2 linked regions of the Lepisosteus oculatus genome follow. The protein of the gene in region 1 purifies or fractionates together with the protein of each later gene. This does not show direct contact. Links are inferred from orthologs where the notes say so. Each region holds a gene or a part of one and is shown in the gene's direction. Other genes may lie near its edges.

Evidence for each region. Proteins that work in one complex are often made in the same cells at the same time.
Region 2: the proteins of ankyrin repeat domain-containing protein 46 (region 1) and atrn purify together in Homo sapiens (co-immunoprecipitation; 3 studies listed by BioGRID and IntAct, with this or other methods). This does not show direct contact. The link is inferred for Lepisosteus oculatus from reciprocal best matches to the Homo sapiens genes ANKRD46 and ATRN.

What each region holds. Positions count from the first base shown.
Region 1 is NC_090703.1:40,734,940-40,742,382, forward strand, and holds the start of ankyrin repeat domain-containing protein 46, read left to right. Parts: upstream 1-4,427; 5' UTR 4,428-4,546; intron 4,547-5,264; 5' UTR 5,265-5,296; coding exon 5,297-5,607; intron 5,608-5,708; coding exon 5,709-5,867; intron 5,868-7,443. Other genes in the region: cysteine protease ATG4A, read right to left, coding at 2,425-2,434.
Region 2 is NC_090696.1:1,300,312-1,308,028, forward strand, and holds the start of atrn (attractin), read left to right. Parts: upstream 1-4,711; 5' UTR 4,712-5,179; coding exon 5,180-5,457; intron 5,458-7,717. UniProt on the Homo sapiens protein: Involved in the initial immune cell clustering during inflammatory response and may regulate chemotactic activity of chemokines. May play a role in melanocortin signaling pathways that regulate energy homeostasis and hair color.

The sequences.
Region 1 (7,443 bases):
GCTGGTAGCGAGGAACTATCAGCCTGTGTGAGGACATTACTCTTGACACCTGTGCCACTACCTCGTCACCTGGCTACATATACAGGACTACGAAGGTAAGATGTTAAAGAAACGTCCTGAAAACAATGCTTCAAGGCACATTGTCTGTAATTTCCTAAAGTTCGAACTTCTTCATTGTGCTGTCTCACAAATGAGCCAAACAATACTGAAAAGTCAATTCAGGGGTATGACGGGCAGTTAATTTTCTAATAAAACGATCTGCAGTAATCTGTATTCCAGAGGCCTCTCTCCTCCCGGTCTCTCATGTGACCCCTGACACAGAAGCACAAAGCATGATCCCACCAGGAGGGACAGGGAAAACCGAAATCAGGGTCCAGGACCCAAGGCTATCAGGCTACCCATGCAAGTAATAATAATAATAATAATAATAATAATAATAATAATAATAATAATAGCAGCTTACACTTATATAGTGCTTTTCTTGACACTCCACTCAAAGCGCTTTACAGGTAATGGGGACTCCCCTCCACCACCACCAATGTGCAGCCCCACCAGGATGATGCGACGGCAGCCATAGTGCACCAGAACACTCACCACACACCAGCTATCAGTGGGGAGGAGAACAGAGTAATGAAGCCAGGACCAGGCTCATCTGCTTAGCTTCAGTGGGTTGCTAGTTGTGAGTTGCAGCATTGAACCTCTGTAGACCAGGTTGAAAAAAAGGCACATTTTCCTGGGTAATCAATTTGCCTACATAAGTTATCAGCAGCCATATCACCCTGGAACTCACAAGTGGTAACCCACTGAAGCTAAGCAGGTGTGAGCCTGGTCAGTACCTGGATGGGAGACCTAAAACTAAGGTTGCTGCTGGAAGAGGTGTTAGTGGGGCCAGCAGGGGGTGCTCACCCTCTGGTCCATGTGGGTCCTAATGCCCCAGTATGGTAACGGGGACACTATACTGTAAACAGGCATAGTCCTTCGGATGAGATGTAAAACCGAGGTCCTGACTCTCTGTGGTCAATAAGAATCCCAGGGTGTTTCTCGAAAATAGTAGGGGTGTAACCCTGGCGCCCTGGCCAAATTTCCCATTGGCTCTTACCAATTAATAACCTCCTAATAATCCCCATCTATCAATTGACTTCATTACTCTGCTCTCCTCCCCACGGATAGCTGGTGAGTGTTCTGGTGCACTATGGCTGCTGTCACATTGGTGGTGGAGGGGAGTCCCCATTACCTTTAAAGCACTTTGAGTGGAGTGTCATATATATAAGTGTAAGGAATTCTTAATTATTATTATACAAGTAACCCTCTCTGCTGGTCAAATGAATCTCCCAACCAATTAACTGACTTTTTCAGTCAATAGGTTTAAAAGACAGCACGATCAGAAACAGCCGCATACTGTAGTTCAGAGCATCTCTGAACCTCTCCTGCACATCTGCGAGTTATTGAATACCCGTCAGAAGATCCTAGATCAGGAGAGGTGCTTAAACTGTGTATTTTAGACCGGGACTGTCCAATTCAGAACTGTTAATCCGGACACGCAAAACTGAAAGATCGTTGGGGTTTAAGTGGTCCGGTTAAGCCAGTAACCCAGACGGTTTTGGTTTTCACGAGCAGCACTTGAATGACAGCTCGCAGATACTCCGCCCCTCCAGAATCCGAGCTAGGACAGCCCTTTTATTAGACGGAACCTCAAACTCCGGTCGGCTACATTGAATCTGTCCTTTCCGCAAACACTGCGACTGTGCAGTTAACACGGAGAGACAATAAGAAAACTAGCCCCATGATGACGCCGCAGACATTATGCTGCGCCTGAAATCTCCGAGACTTTCTACATCTGGAAAAGCCAGATCTTCCGGGACTTCAGAGATTTGGAGTATCTGTATTACAGATTCAGGCGTGTTTTTGAAAACAGAAAAAAAAAAACACAGTCGATTTTGCGAGCTGTACCAATGGGACAGATTTTCTACTGATGTTGCTATTTATTATTAGCTATTAAATACTAAACGTATTCTGACCAATGCCAGAAATTATATCAAGGACCGAAAAAAATGAGAGGATACACCGAAACGAACATCGCTAAGCAAAAAAAAGGGGTTTTATTTATATACCGGCTCTATATCTTAATTGCCCAATCCCACCAAAAACCAATACAAACTCACATTAATTAAGTAATAAAAAAGATCGTTGCTTTAAGGAATTCAAACACAGAGAATCCAATCTGTAAAGTTTACACTTAACGAGGGCCAGATAGAAACAATACAGAAACTTCCAACTCAGATGTGTATCCAGAAACGCAGTGTTAAAGATGAACGGAATTCTTTCTGTACGGTTTTGCTGAAGAGCCTAATTAATCATGACAAAAAATCACTTTTATGTTTAATCTTTACGACGATTTTTAGCCTCGGAGAGTGATATTCTTACCTGCCTCCATCCTCCGGCTGTCAACTGGGTTTAAAGCGGTGAAATAAAAAAATAGTGCGCGCTGCACTGTGGGGAATGTAGTTCCTGGTGGTGGCATCTCTAGGCGACGATAGGGATCATAAACTACAACTACCGGTAGGCAATGTTATGGTACTAGGCGTTAATAGAAACTGAAAACACTGAGGTGCGTTGTGGGTATTGGTGTTTCACGGGTAGGTTTCATTTCCAGTGCCTAATTCCGTTATTTTTATTACTAGTACTACTACTACTACTACTCCTACTTCTTAAAATGCTTTAGAGATTTTGTTCTTCATCCAAAAGCAAAAACACTCCAGAAACTCTTGTCCAGAGATTTATGTCTTTCCACCACCATGCTTGATAAAAGAGCAAGTACAGTCCAGAACGGTTGCCCAAAAAAGAATGAACCCTAAAGTGTAAACAGATACTGTACTCGACAGTAATATAACTGCCCACCCTCTTCAAAACTGTTCCTACTCTACACTTTCATTGTATGATCCAGTATTACTGCAATTTCTGAGCTTTGTATTGTAATGCTTTTCTTTTAACAACAATAGTCTGTACTTTTAGATCTTGGAATTTGTAGCTGTTAGTGTTTTCGTGTGGTGGTTGTGCTACATAACATGCTACATGTTATTGCAGCGCACTGATTTTTTACATATCACATTTTCTTTTCTCCAGTATAAGAACTGCACAGGATGGGCCCATCTGCGATATATAAATAATTTCTTTGATACAACATAAAGGCAAAGTCCGACAAACATAATCAACTATGAACACATGGGTTTTTCTAAAGGTAATACGGTCATCTTCAGTATTTTCCCAGTGTCTTAAATACAGTACTTGTTTTTTCATTGTATAAAACAATCAATGATTGGTTGCATTTGATCCCAAAAGTGCTTTACAAATAGGAGGGGACCCACATCTCTCTCACTAAACTACACCATCCTGCACCAGCAATACCAACATACAGCAGACCAGGTGGTGAGGAGAGAAATTATTTCACCATTTAATTTAGGGAAGACTTTAAGAAGGCCTGCATTTCCACATTGAATTGAATGTATTCAGAAAACTGGGGTTAATATCCCTAAAATTTGGAAAAGTGCAATTTATTTTTACATTTAATAACCAAGAAGTCAGGAACTCAGTTTGAAAGTCTCAATGAAAGACGGCACCTATTTCAGCACACTGTCTCTGTCACCAGGCAGGGACATTGGATTGTGAATTATTATAATGAATGTACCCAGCATCTATATCATACTGTAACTCACAACTGGCAATCCACTGAAGTGCAGCAGGTTTGAGCCTGGCCTGCACCTGGATGGGAGACCTCCTGGGAAAAGCTATAGTTGCTAGTGGAAGAGGTGATAGTGGGGCCAGTAGGTCCTGACTCTCTGTTGTCATTAAAAATCCCAAGGCACTTCTTGAAAAGAGTAGGGGTGTAACCCTGGTATCCTGGCCTCCTAATAATCTATGACTTGGCTTCATTACTCTGTTCTTCAACCCACTGATAGCTGATGTGTGGAGAGCCTACTGTCCACAGTTTGGTTGTCATTTCATCGTTAAGGTGGATGCTGCACATTATGCAAGAAATTCTTTCTTCTTATTATTATTAAATTCTGTTATGGGTGAAGAGAACCACTTACTGGTCCACCAGTGCTACTTATAGCAGGTGCCCAGTTTTCATGGCGATCTACCATTCCAGTACTGACCAGGCCCAGTCTTCTCAGCTTTTCAGATCTGGCAACACCTTCCTAATTTGCCCTCTACTATTACTACATTGAGTCTTTATACCTTATATGATGTTAAATTCTATTTTGAAAGCTTGTAATGATACCTTTTTTATTTAAAACGGCGATTCTGACTCGTAGATTTAGATTGCTGTGTCTTATATAATGATGGGTCAATCTCCCTTACAAGTGAGTAGGCGGCTCCTGACTGGGGTAACCATGGAAACGAGACAGCTCCTACTGCCGTAAAGCACCCTGATGTAGACGTGAAATTGTCAGGTCCGTTTACGGGTGGTTTGTGTCGTCTTAGATCGGCAACAAAATAAAAAGGAAAAGAGGCATATTTTTTCGGTTCTTTTGCAAAACATAATCAGGTAATGGGTAATACTGCTGCTTTCGGGAAGTTTGCTTAAGACTGCTTATGTAAATACGATGCATGTAAGCGAGTCGTCTTGATGATGAAGGTTTTTTGAAAGGATGTTTTAAGCAGAATCCAATTTAGTGGATCTGTGACGGCTTAGGTGCATCCTAAATTATTTCTTTTCTTTGCTGGAATGTATTTATATTTTATACGATTCTTGGCGTGCATCTGTGCTTAAACATAGGCATCACCCGTTAAGGTACGCTTCGGTTTAGCTCGGGAGGTCCAGGCGATGTCGTGTGTTTATTAATTTGTGATGTAATGGTTTACTATCGGCTCTCCGTTGCGGTGCAGAGTTGGGGCGTACCTGTGGGATCGGTGTGTACCCAGATGAGCGCATCCGATCCGAAGGGGGCGGATGTGAACTCTCCTTTTCTGCGCTTGATGGAGATTTCGTTCTTTATGTTACGATGTTTATGGGACCGCACTCGTGACGCAGTAATTTTGTATTAAAAATAAAAGCAAATCTGGAAAAATGTATTAAATCTTTTCTCGCTTCGTTAACCGTACATGTTTTTTTTAGGGTTAATGTCCAAGTGATGACAGGCTTTCATAGCCCAGTGCGAGTTTGAGGGTGTGACAGACGCGCCGCCTATCTTACCCCAACACCACTTCACTAAAAGTTAACTTTCCAACACACCCTTCCCGGCGCTTGTTTTCTTGTCCCGCAGGTACCCTGGACTTTACCGACACCCACTCAGACATGTCGTATGTCTTCATCAATGACTCTTCCCAAACGAACGTGCCCCTGCTGCAGGCTTGCATCGACGGGGACCTGAACTACTCGAAGCGCCTCCTGGAAAGCGGCTTCGATCCCAATATCCGGGACAACCGCGGTCGTACGGGGCTGCACCTGGCGGCGGCCCGCGGCAACGTGGAGATCTGCCGGCTGCTGCACAAGTTCGGGGCCGACCTGCTGGCCACGGACTACCAGGGCAACACCGCGCTGCACCTCTGCGGCCACGTCGACACCATCCAGTTCCTGGTCTCGAACGGGCTCAAAATTGACATCTGGTAGGTGCAGACCCCCGTCTGTCCCATGTCAGAGTGCTGGGAACTCTTCCGCCCTTTGGGAGGCTGGGGCCTCAACCCGTCTCCTTGTGTTCCTGGCACAGCAATCACAACGGCGCCACTCCCCTGGTGCTGGCGAAGAGGAGAGGGGTCAACAAGGACGCCATCCGGCTGCTGGAGGGCCTGGAGGAGCAGGAGGTGAAGGGCTTCAACCGGGGGGCACACTCCAAGCTGGAGTCCATGCAGCTGGCCGAGAGCGAGAGGTGGGTGTGGGAGGAAGAGAGAGCCTTCTGGAGTACTGCTTGTGTACCGTTCTTTTGGGTCTGGCAGTCTGCCGAGACCCAGTTTCTAAAGTTCCGGCCAAAGCTGACACCAAAGCTGTAGTACTTTGTCTTGTTACTTGTGTGTGATTTTGGTAGTATGAAACAGAATGGTACACGAGGAGTGCACCTGTGATTTGTAGGCACATTTACTGAAGCAGAAAGGTTATGAGACTTGAGCTTTCTAAAGGCTATTCCATCAGTGCCCTCTGCAGTTTGAATGGAAACAGCCTCATAACTTTACTTCTTTACCATCCGGAGTGGTTGATGTTAATGTGTTTTGCTAGCTAATGATCAACTTGAAAAGACTTCTCCCTTCCTGTACCGGCAATACTGTTTAATGAGAAAAGAGCTTCCAAAAGTTTTACCTCAGATAACCTGAGAACACGTAAATGGCAAAACCTTTCAAAACTTGATTCCAGCATCACATCTGCGTCATCTGATACTGGTTCAGTTCAAAAACAGGGCATTGGCAGTAAATGTCAGCAGCCATATTACCCTGCAACTCACAACTGGCAACCCACTGAAGCTCAGCAGATGTGAGCCTGGTCAGTACCTGGATGGGAGACCTCCTGGGAAAAACTAAGGTTGATGCTGGAAGAGGTGTTAGTGGGGCCAGCAGGGAGTGCTCACCCTGCAGTCTATGTGGGTCCTATTGCCCCAGTATGGTGATGAGGACACTGTACTATAAAAAGGTGCCGTCCTTCTGATGAGATGCAAGAGAGAGGTCCTGACTCTCTGTGGTCATTAAAGTTCCCAGGGTGCTTCTCGAAAAGAGTAGGGGTGTAACCCCGGTGTCCTGGCCAAATTTCCAATTGGCCCTTACTAATCATGGCCTCCTAATAATCCCCCTCTATGAATTGGCTACATTACTCTGCTCTCCTCCCCACTGATAGCTGATGTGTGGTGAGCGTTCTGGCGCACTATGGCTGCCGTCGCATCATCCAGGTGGATGCTGCACATTGGTGGTGGTGGAGGGGAGTCCCCATTACCTGTAAAGCGCTTTGAGTGGAGTGTCCAGAAAAGCGCTATATAAGTGTAAGCAATTATTATTATTATAATTATTATTATTATTATTTCTCAAAATGAGAAGGGATGGAACCCCGGTGTCCTGTCCAAAGTTTGCATCTTGGCCTCCTAATAATCCCCATCTATGAATTGGTTTCATTACTCTGTTCTCCTCCCCACTATTGGCTAATGTGTGGTGAGTGTTCTGGTGCACTATGGCTGCAGGTACATTGGTGGTGGTGGAGGGGAGTTCCCATTACCTGGAAAGCGCTTTGAGTGGAGTGTCCAGAAAAGGGCTATATAAACTCAAGCAATTATTATTATAAATGCCTTACTTTCACCCCAAATTACAATAATCTGTGCTGTAAACGTTAAAGAAGCAGTTTTAGACACTGAGACAATAGAATGTAATGGTAGTGTAACTGTTAGTGTTGTTGCCTCACAATTCTTTGGTGAATTTTTAACCACCTTATGGAAGGAGTTTACATGTTCCCCACCAACTCCCCTTCAT
Region 2 (7,717 bases), on another chromosome or scaffold:
GTGTCCTCTTTTGTTTGTCTTTTCCGTGCTGAGGAACCAGGACCCCCTCCTCCCCTCTGAGTAACCCTCCGCCTTTCCTGCGCTACCTCCCACTGTACAGAGAGTCGTCCCCTCTGTTGGATATCACCCTCCTTCCTCCTCGACTGCAGTCCCACATCATCAGATCTCAGGAGTTAAACATTGCTGTGCCAGGGCAGTGCTGGGATGGGTGACTTCGAGGGAAAATCAGGTTACTGCTTCAAGAGGTGGCGCTGTCCCCTCTGGACAGATATTCCAGGTGTGGTGACTGGTGACACTGCTGCAGGGGGGGCTGTCCTTCATACGAGACTTAAGAGTGCAATCTTGACCATGCAGTAATTAAAGATCCCATAGCTCTCTGCATAAGAACACCTGTGTTAACACCAGGTCTGCTGGCCTCCCTAAAATTTCCTCTTAATTCAGTTGGTGCAGCAGTTTCCCCCTCTGTCGGTGATCCACTGAGGAGCAGGGATTACTGGGGGTGCCAGTGCAGAACAGTCACTGTGTGTCACCGAGCGGGGGGTGCAGCAGGTCCCCTCCTGTGTGTGAGCACTACAGAAATGCATGAGCTCATGGTAACGTCCTGCGAGCTCCTGCGGCAGCTGGCCTGGTGAGAGGAAAGCTGCTGCAAAGCCATGACAAAGCATGGGGAAGAGCAACAGAGCTGCATCTGAGTATAACCCCAATGAGGCGGATGACAGTACAGAACAGTACAGAAATCCTATATTTGCATTTATTGACATACTGTATACAGTGCCCCTATCCATCTCTCTTGCTCCGTTTTCCTTTTCAGTTGAAGCTGCAGCTGCCCAGTGTTTTGAGAACAGACATGTTATTAATTCAGGTGGGGAGCTGCGTCAGCATGCGTAGGCTGCAAAGGAACAAGTAATAGGTTACCTCCATGCTGAAAAGAGAAGAAAGAGAACACAATGTTTTGGCCATGGAGCCTTCTTCAGGTGTCTTCTTCTTCTTCACCTGAAGAAGGCTCCAAGGCCGAAATGACATGTCATTAAGTCTGCTGATGACTGTGTCAGTGTCAGTCTGCTCCAACATGTAGACACTGATCATGGGCCTGGAGTGGATTTTTGGGTTGAATGGTGGAACAACTCCTGCCTTCAAAATAATGTCAAAAACCAAAGACATGCCCATTGATTACAATAAGCTAACCTTTTGAGGAGTCTGATTTAGTCTAGTGTTGAGACAGAAGAAAGCTGACCAACCATAGGTGCCTCTGAAAGCTGTTGTGGGGCCCAGGGCTAAGATAAGTCACGAGCCCAACCATTTAACTCTGTTCCCCACTATGGGAAACACTTGGAACAAAACTAGAAAATTCAGAAGTGAAAATTCCACTGTGACAGCATGGGCCCAGAAATCTGTGCGCTTAGAGCACATTATTTAGACATAAAAAGGTTTTCTTCCCAACACCAAATAATATATTTAGTGGAAGTCTTTCATCAAACTCGCTACACTTACACAGTGTTCAATCGTACAGTCTATACAGACCTGAAGGGCTTTTTAGCGACCTCACACTGCCCACTGCTCCTTTGCTCGCCTCATCAAGAGCAAGAAAGCAAATGAGACAACCATAAATAATAATAATAATAATAATAATAATAATAATAATTACTTACACTTATATAGTGCTTTTCTGGACACTCAAAGCGCTTTACAGGTAATGGGGATCCCCTCCAACACTCCCAGTGTGCAGCCCCACCTGCATGATGAAAATAAGACCTTAAAATACTTTTTTTTTTCTTACTATCAAATCTATTAATTTTACTATTCTTCCTCAAGGTAGTTTAGATTTTTGACACCATAACTTGTCCCACAGTTCTGGGAAAGATGCCTGTTGATAAAATGTGCCTGGTTTGTCATACAGTAGGTACCGTCACGTATCGCCCGATGCACATTTCCACGTATTCACGTCCTCAGCGAGGACAATAAAGGGGTTAATCCATTTATTATGTGTACATAGACAGTAATGAATTGTAATTGGGTAGCTGCAAGTAAGACTGCAAGTAGCTGGCCAGCCTATCGGATGGTACACACACAGGACTATTTAGAGATGTCAATTAATAATAATAATAATTATTATTATAATAATTCCTTACACTTATATAGCACTTTTCTGGACACTCCACTCAAAGCGCTTTACAGGTAATGGGGACACCCCTCCACCACCACCAGTGTGCAGCCCCACCTGGATGATGCACCAGTACTCTCCCCACACACCAGCTCTCAGTGGGGAGGAGAGCAGAGTGATGAAGCCAGTTCAGAGATGGGGATTATTAGGAGGCAATGATTGGTAAGGGCCAAAGGGAAATTTAGCCAGGACGCTGGGGTAACACCCCTACTCTTTTTGAGAAATGCCCCGGGATTGCTAATAACCACAGAGAGTCAGGACCTCAGTTTTATGTCTCATCCGAAGGATTTTACAGTAGTATCCCTGTTACTATACTGGGGCATTAGGACCACAGGGTGAGCGTCTGCTGCTGGCCCCATTAACACCTCTTCCAGCAGCAACATTTGCTTCCCTGGCGGTCTCTCATCCAGGTACTGGCCAGACTCACACTGCTGGGCTTCAGTGAGCTGCCAGCTGTGGGTCGCAGGGTGATAGGGCTGCTGGTGTATATCATGTCCAAAGTCTCACTTGACTCCGGGATCTAAGAGCAGAGAAGCAGTAACACTAAAAATTGTGCCATTAAAAAGCTAATAAGTTATTTAAAAAAAGGAAATGAGAGAGGGGTGAGGAGTTACAACACATTTGGTTTCTAGCAGCCAACTGACAGTAGGATCTTACCCTACCATTTCCTGAAGGAAACCAGGGTAACGGCTCCAACTACATGGCCGAGCATCTCCCAGGAGGACTGAGGCTTGTTGAGGAGGCCAGGGTGGGGAATGGGGCTGACGCAGCTTGAGGCAGAGGGGTAGCTCACACTTGGATAAGGGGTTTAAGAGTAAATGGCAAGCAAAGCGGGGAGAAAGGGGAAGCTGGGAGAAGCACCGCAGTTTTTCCGGGCAGACAGAAGGAGGAGCAGAAAGAGCTGAAACATACGGCTGCTGTAGGCAATGACGGCCAGCAGAGGGCAGGCTTTGACTTCTACAGATCAGGATAGTAGTAGAAGACGCATCTCTTCGTTCCTCATCACACTTGTAATGGGTTGAAGAAGTTCAAGTAGGCAGCTGTGTCAGCATGCATAGGCTGCAAAGGAACAGGTAAAGGTTTATTCCATGCCGACAGGACAAGAACAGAGACACAACGTTTTGGCTGTTGAGCCTTCTTCAGGTGTCACAGAGGTGTGGAGCTGTGGATTGGTCACATTCGGACAATTCAGGCACGGAGAAGGCTCCACAGCTGAAAAGTTGTGTCTCTTTTCTTTTCCTTTCAGCATGGAATAAACTTTTACCTGTGCTTGTTATTGGTTGTACTGTACCATCAGAATGTTTAAGGGAGAGGGGCGGTGTAAAAGATGTATCTGCCGTCCACACTACACAAGGGAAGAGAACATGAGAACATAAAAATGATAGAAATGTGATGAAGCCATTCAGCCTATCTAGGACACTTAATTGTTAGCTGCTAATTGATCCAATGATCTCACACAGCTGTATCACGAAAGAAGCCAGGGTATCAACTTCAACATGGCGGAAGAGCTTGTTGCACACTCCCACCACTCTCTGTGTAAACAAATGCACTCTGTTTTAAATCCAATTCCACAGTTTCCACTTCTGCTCTCTGATTTGTGGGTAATGGTTGATTGTGAAGAGATCCACAGGGGTGACATAATGATTTTGAATGCTTGGATCAGGAATCCTTTTCTTTTGCATTCAAGTTTTAAAAGGTTCTGTTCTTTCAGCCTGTTTGCATAGAATGTTCCTTTAAACTGTGGAATATATGTGGTTACTCTATTCTGGACAGATTCTAAATCAACCATCTTTATGTGACAAGGTATCTAAAATTATACACAATGTTGCAAATGTGGTCTTTCATGTACTAACATTTCTTGTTTTTTACTGTTTCACCACATTGTCTAGCTGATGCAAACAATGTGTGAACAGAATCATCCAAGAATTTTCATATCTAGCCCTCTGTCTCCTATCTTGGCTTTATACTTTTACTCCACATGTCTTCTCACAGAAATGTGCCCAGTCTTGAACTTCTGTCTTTCCTGCATCTAAAATGTTTGAAAATCCTATTTTGTCATCATGCACATATGAAGTAATATGAGATTGTTATTTTTACTAGGGAATGTTTGTACTTTTTTGCACAAAAAAACCAATATATCACTTTTTTTTGGTTTACAAGTAAATTAGTGGGTGGCATGGTGGGACAGGGGTTAGCAGCACTGACCTGAGCATCAATGGGTATGTTCAATGGGTACTGTATCAATGGGTATGTTCTCCCTTAGTTTATATTGGTTTCCTCCCCCAGTCCAAAGGCATACTGGTAGGTTAATTGGCTTCTGGGAAACTGGGCCCTGGTGTGAGTGTATCTGGAATAAACCTTTACTTGTTCTTTTACAGCCTATGTATGCTGATGCAGCTCCCTACTTGAGTTTATTCATATTTACTTTAACGTCACTCTGTGTAGATATAATAGCGGTTTCTAAATTGTGCAAATTCTTGCTATGTGCCCACCAGTCTCCGCCTCATCACCGCACTCCTGCGCTGGACGAAGCGCTTATTGAACTTGGATAAATAATCAGTACGTCATGATTGCTCTGCCTTTCAGTAGGGCTTTGTGAATATCGCGCTCGCAGTTGGAAGCAAACGAGTCTGGTTTTCTTCCGTAAATCGGCAGCGAGAGAATACGTGTCTCACTCGTCGGCCCCCGTGCTGGTGAGGAGACCCGGCGCAGAACCGCCTGCCCCCGGTGTTGCTCTGGCGTCGCTCCCCGGGCTTGAATCCCCCGCTTCTCCGGCCGGGACGTCATTTCCAGGTGCCTTTGCGTGTGTGGGCAAGGAGAGGGGGGAGAGAGGGAATATAACGGGAGACGGGGAGAGCGGCTGGAAGGGCTTGCTTGTGAATTAATTCGCTCAAGGAAGAAGATAATACTGGTACAACTCTGACACCGTCGCCGGAATCCATTGCGACTAGTCCCACCTGAGGTCGAGGGGCAGAGCGGAGGCGAGCCGAAAACACAGGCGAGCAACTCCGTGCCAGGATGCAGAGGGATAGGCGGCGGGCCTGCTGGCGCTCCGGCGGCGGCTGCAGCCGCGGTGTGTACCGGGCGAGGGCCCCGGGCTCGCTGGGGCCCAGGCGGGCACCGCTGCTCCTCCTGTCGGCGCTGTTCGTCTTCGTGGCCGGGCTTCCTGCTCCGTGCGAGGGGAAGGAGTGCGACAAGCCCTGCCTGAACGGGCAGTGCAGCACGGCCGTGGGATACTGCCAGTGCGACCCCGGCTGGGTGGGGGACCAGTGCCAGCACTGCGGGGGCAGATTCAGGTAAGCCCGGGGAGTGGGGAGTGGGGGCTGGGGGTCGGCTTGCGGGAGCTGCTGTCGTGGGGCAGGACGGCGTTTGTTTTTTCTCGTGGGGCGATGAAGTGCAGCCGGTAGTCGCAGAGGGACTTGAGTGCGGAAGTCTGGCTCCCAGACGTGCAGCACTGCACACACTGTGCTCTGGGGGTCCACAGTGTGTGATTACATTACGATGAACACATGAGCAGGCACAGGCAGCGGGGCCGGTACCGGCCCGGTCGCGATCCGTTCTCTTGGCTTTGTGGCGGACTCCCTGGAAAAGCTGGGCTGGGTGAGCTGGCCTACCGAGGGTCCTGGCTCCGGGAGAAACATGAGCACATGAGCAAGTTGGGGAACAGCGTCACCGGTGTCCTGTCACCTGGCGACCTGTGATGCGCTCGGGCGGCACTGCGGCGTCTCAAGCCTTGCTTGTCCTCACGCTGCCGAGACGAGTACAGCGGTACTGTCGCTTTGTGTCTTCATGACTTCGCGCTGTGCACCCCGCAGGCCGGCCCAGGGACCCAGGGCAGTTCACCTCGTAACGCCCTTCCCCGCTCTGGACATCTGCCTGCAGGGTTTCAGTGGGGGAATTATATCCCAGCTAAATAAATGTCAGTTTCCAGCTGCTGATAGTGCGTAGAGGGCAGACAGATGCTCAGGAGCTGCATGGGGTCCCGGGACACAGTAGTGTTGGAGCTGCAGGATTTCATTACAGAGAGTGTTCAGTCTGCATCGGCATTGATCAAGCCCTCGCCGGTGTACTTGAGGGTGCTTTCCAAGGAAATCTACCTCTGGTGTCTGAAATGTGGATTTTTGCTTAATTCTTGGCAGTCGTAATACCCAGTAATTGCAGGCCCATCATTAGTCTTCAGAAGTTCAGCTCTTTGTTCTGTAGAAAACATTTCATTGTTCCTGCCTTCAGAGAGCGAAATCTCAAATGGGGCTGAAAGTCTGTCTGGTGTAGGGGCTGCTCTCCTGGGTTTCCATGGGTGACCATCTGGGCAGAGGAGGCGAAACTGTTGAAGTTGTGCCTGGTGAGATGTGGTCACCTCAGAAAGGCAGCTCTCCAAGTGGACTGGTCACTAAAGAGAGCACACCTCTCAGGACTGCCTGCCCTTCTGTTTGGTGTGGTGTTTAACAAAGAAGAATCTAGGCAAAAATGACATAGCGAAGAAATAAATCTCTGGGATGGTTGACCTAAAGATCTCATCCAGCTGTTTTCCTTAAAGAAACCAGGGCCTCAGCTTCAACAACAAGGGTGAGTAGCTTGTTCTAGACTCCCACAACCCTTTGTGTAAAGAAGCGCCTCCTGTTCAGTTTTAATTGCACTTCCTTGTAGTTTCCCCTTATTCTCTGGGCTGTTTTGCTGTTTGTTCTGAAGTCGCCTGGGTTGGCTGTGTCAAGGCCTGTGAGGTTTTTGAATACTTGTATCAAGTCCCCTCATTTTCTTCTCTGTTCAGGACTGAAAAGCATTGGGCTTTGCCTTAAACCCCAGAAAGTATCTGGTTGCTCTCTGGACAGATTCCAGAGGAATGGTATTTTCTCTGTTACAGGGTGACGAAAATTGTAGACCATGTTCATAAGGAGGTATTATTAGTGTGTTATACAACTTTAACACATCATCCCTCAATTTAAATTCTAAGATTTATACTATGTAGCTGAATATATTGCTTGCCCAAAGTCTTGTAGATATAGCCTAGATAATAGTAGTTCAGTAGCCTAGATAATGTCAACATAAAGTCCTGTTTTTTGATAAGTAATCTCTCCAATATCAGCATTTCCTGTTTTGTATCTAGCTTGTAGATTTCTTTACCTCCACGTGATGCTCTGCACTTTAATGTCTCCCAGTTTGCTTGAGTTTTGTGTTTTTTTTATTTTTATTTTTGATTTGGTGTTTTTGCCCTGTCATCCTCACTCTCCTGATTGTATGAAAAGACAAGATCAATACCTGCATTTTTTTGCAGCTGGTCTGACAAACTGGGTGACAGAGCACATGTTAACCTTATGTATCATTTCCGTTTCTGTTGCTGACATTCCTTTAAGTTTTTCCAGTCTGTTTTCAAAACTTCTTTGAATATTAATTTCAGGAGATGGTCATAAATTCTCATCAATGGTGGTCTACACCTGTAATGGTGCTCCTTTCGCCAGTTCCTCTAGCCTGTAGGTGCCGTCCTGCGTGTTGACTCCACTGTGTGTACGGTGTGCTGGGTGTGCAAGACCCCGCAGAACCCTCTGCAGTCTGAGAGAA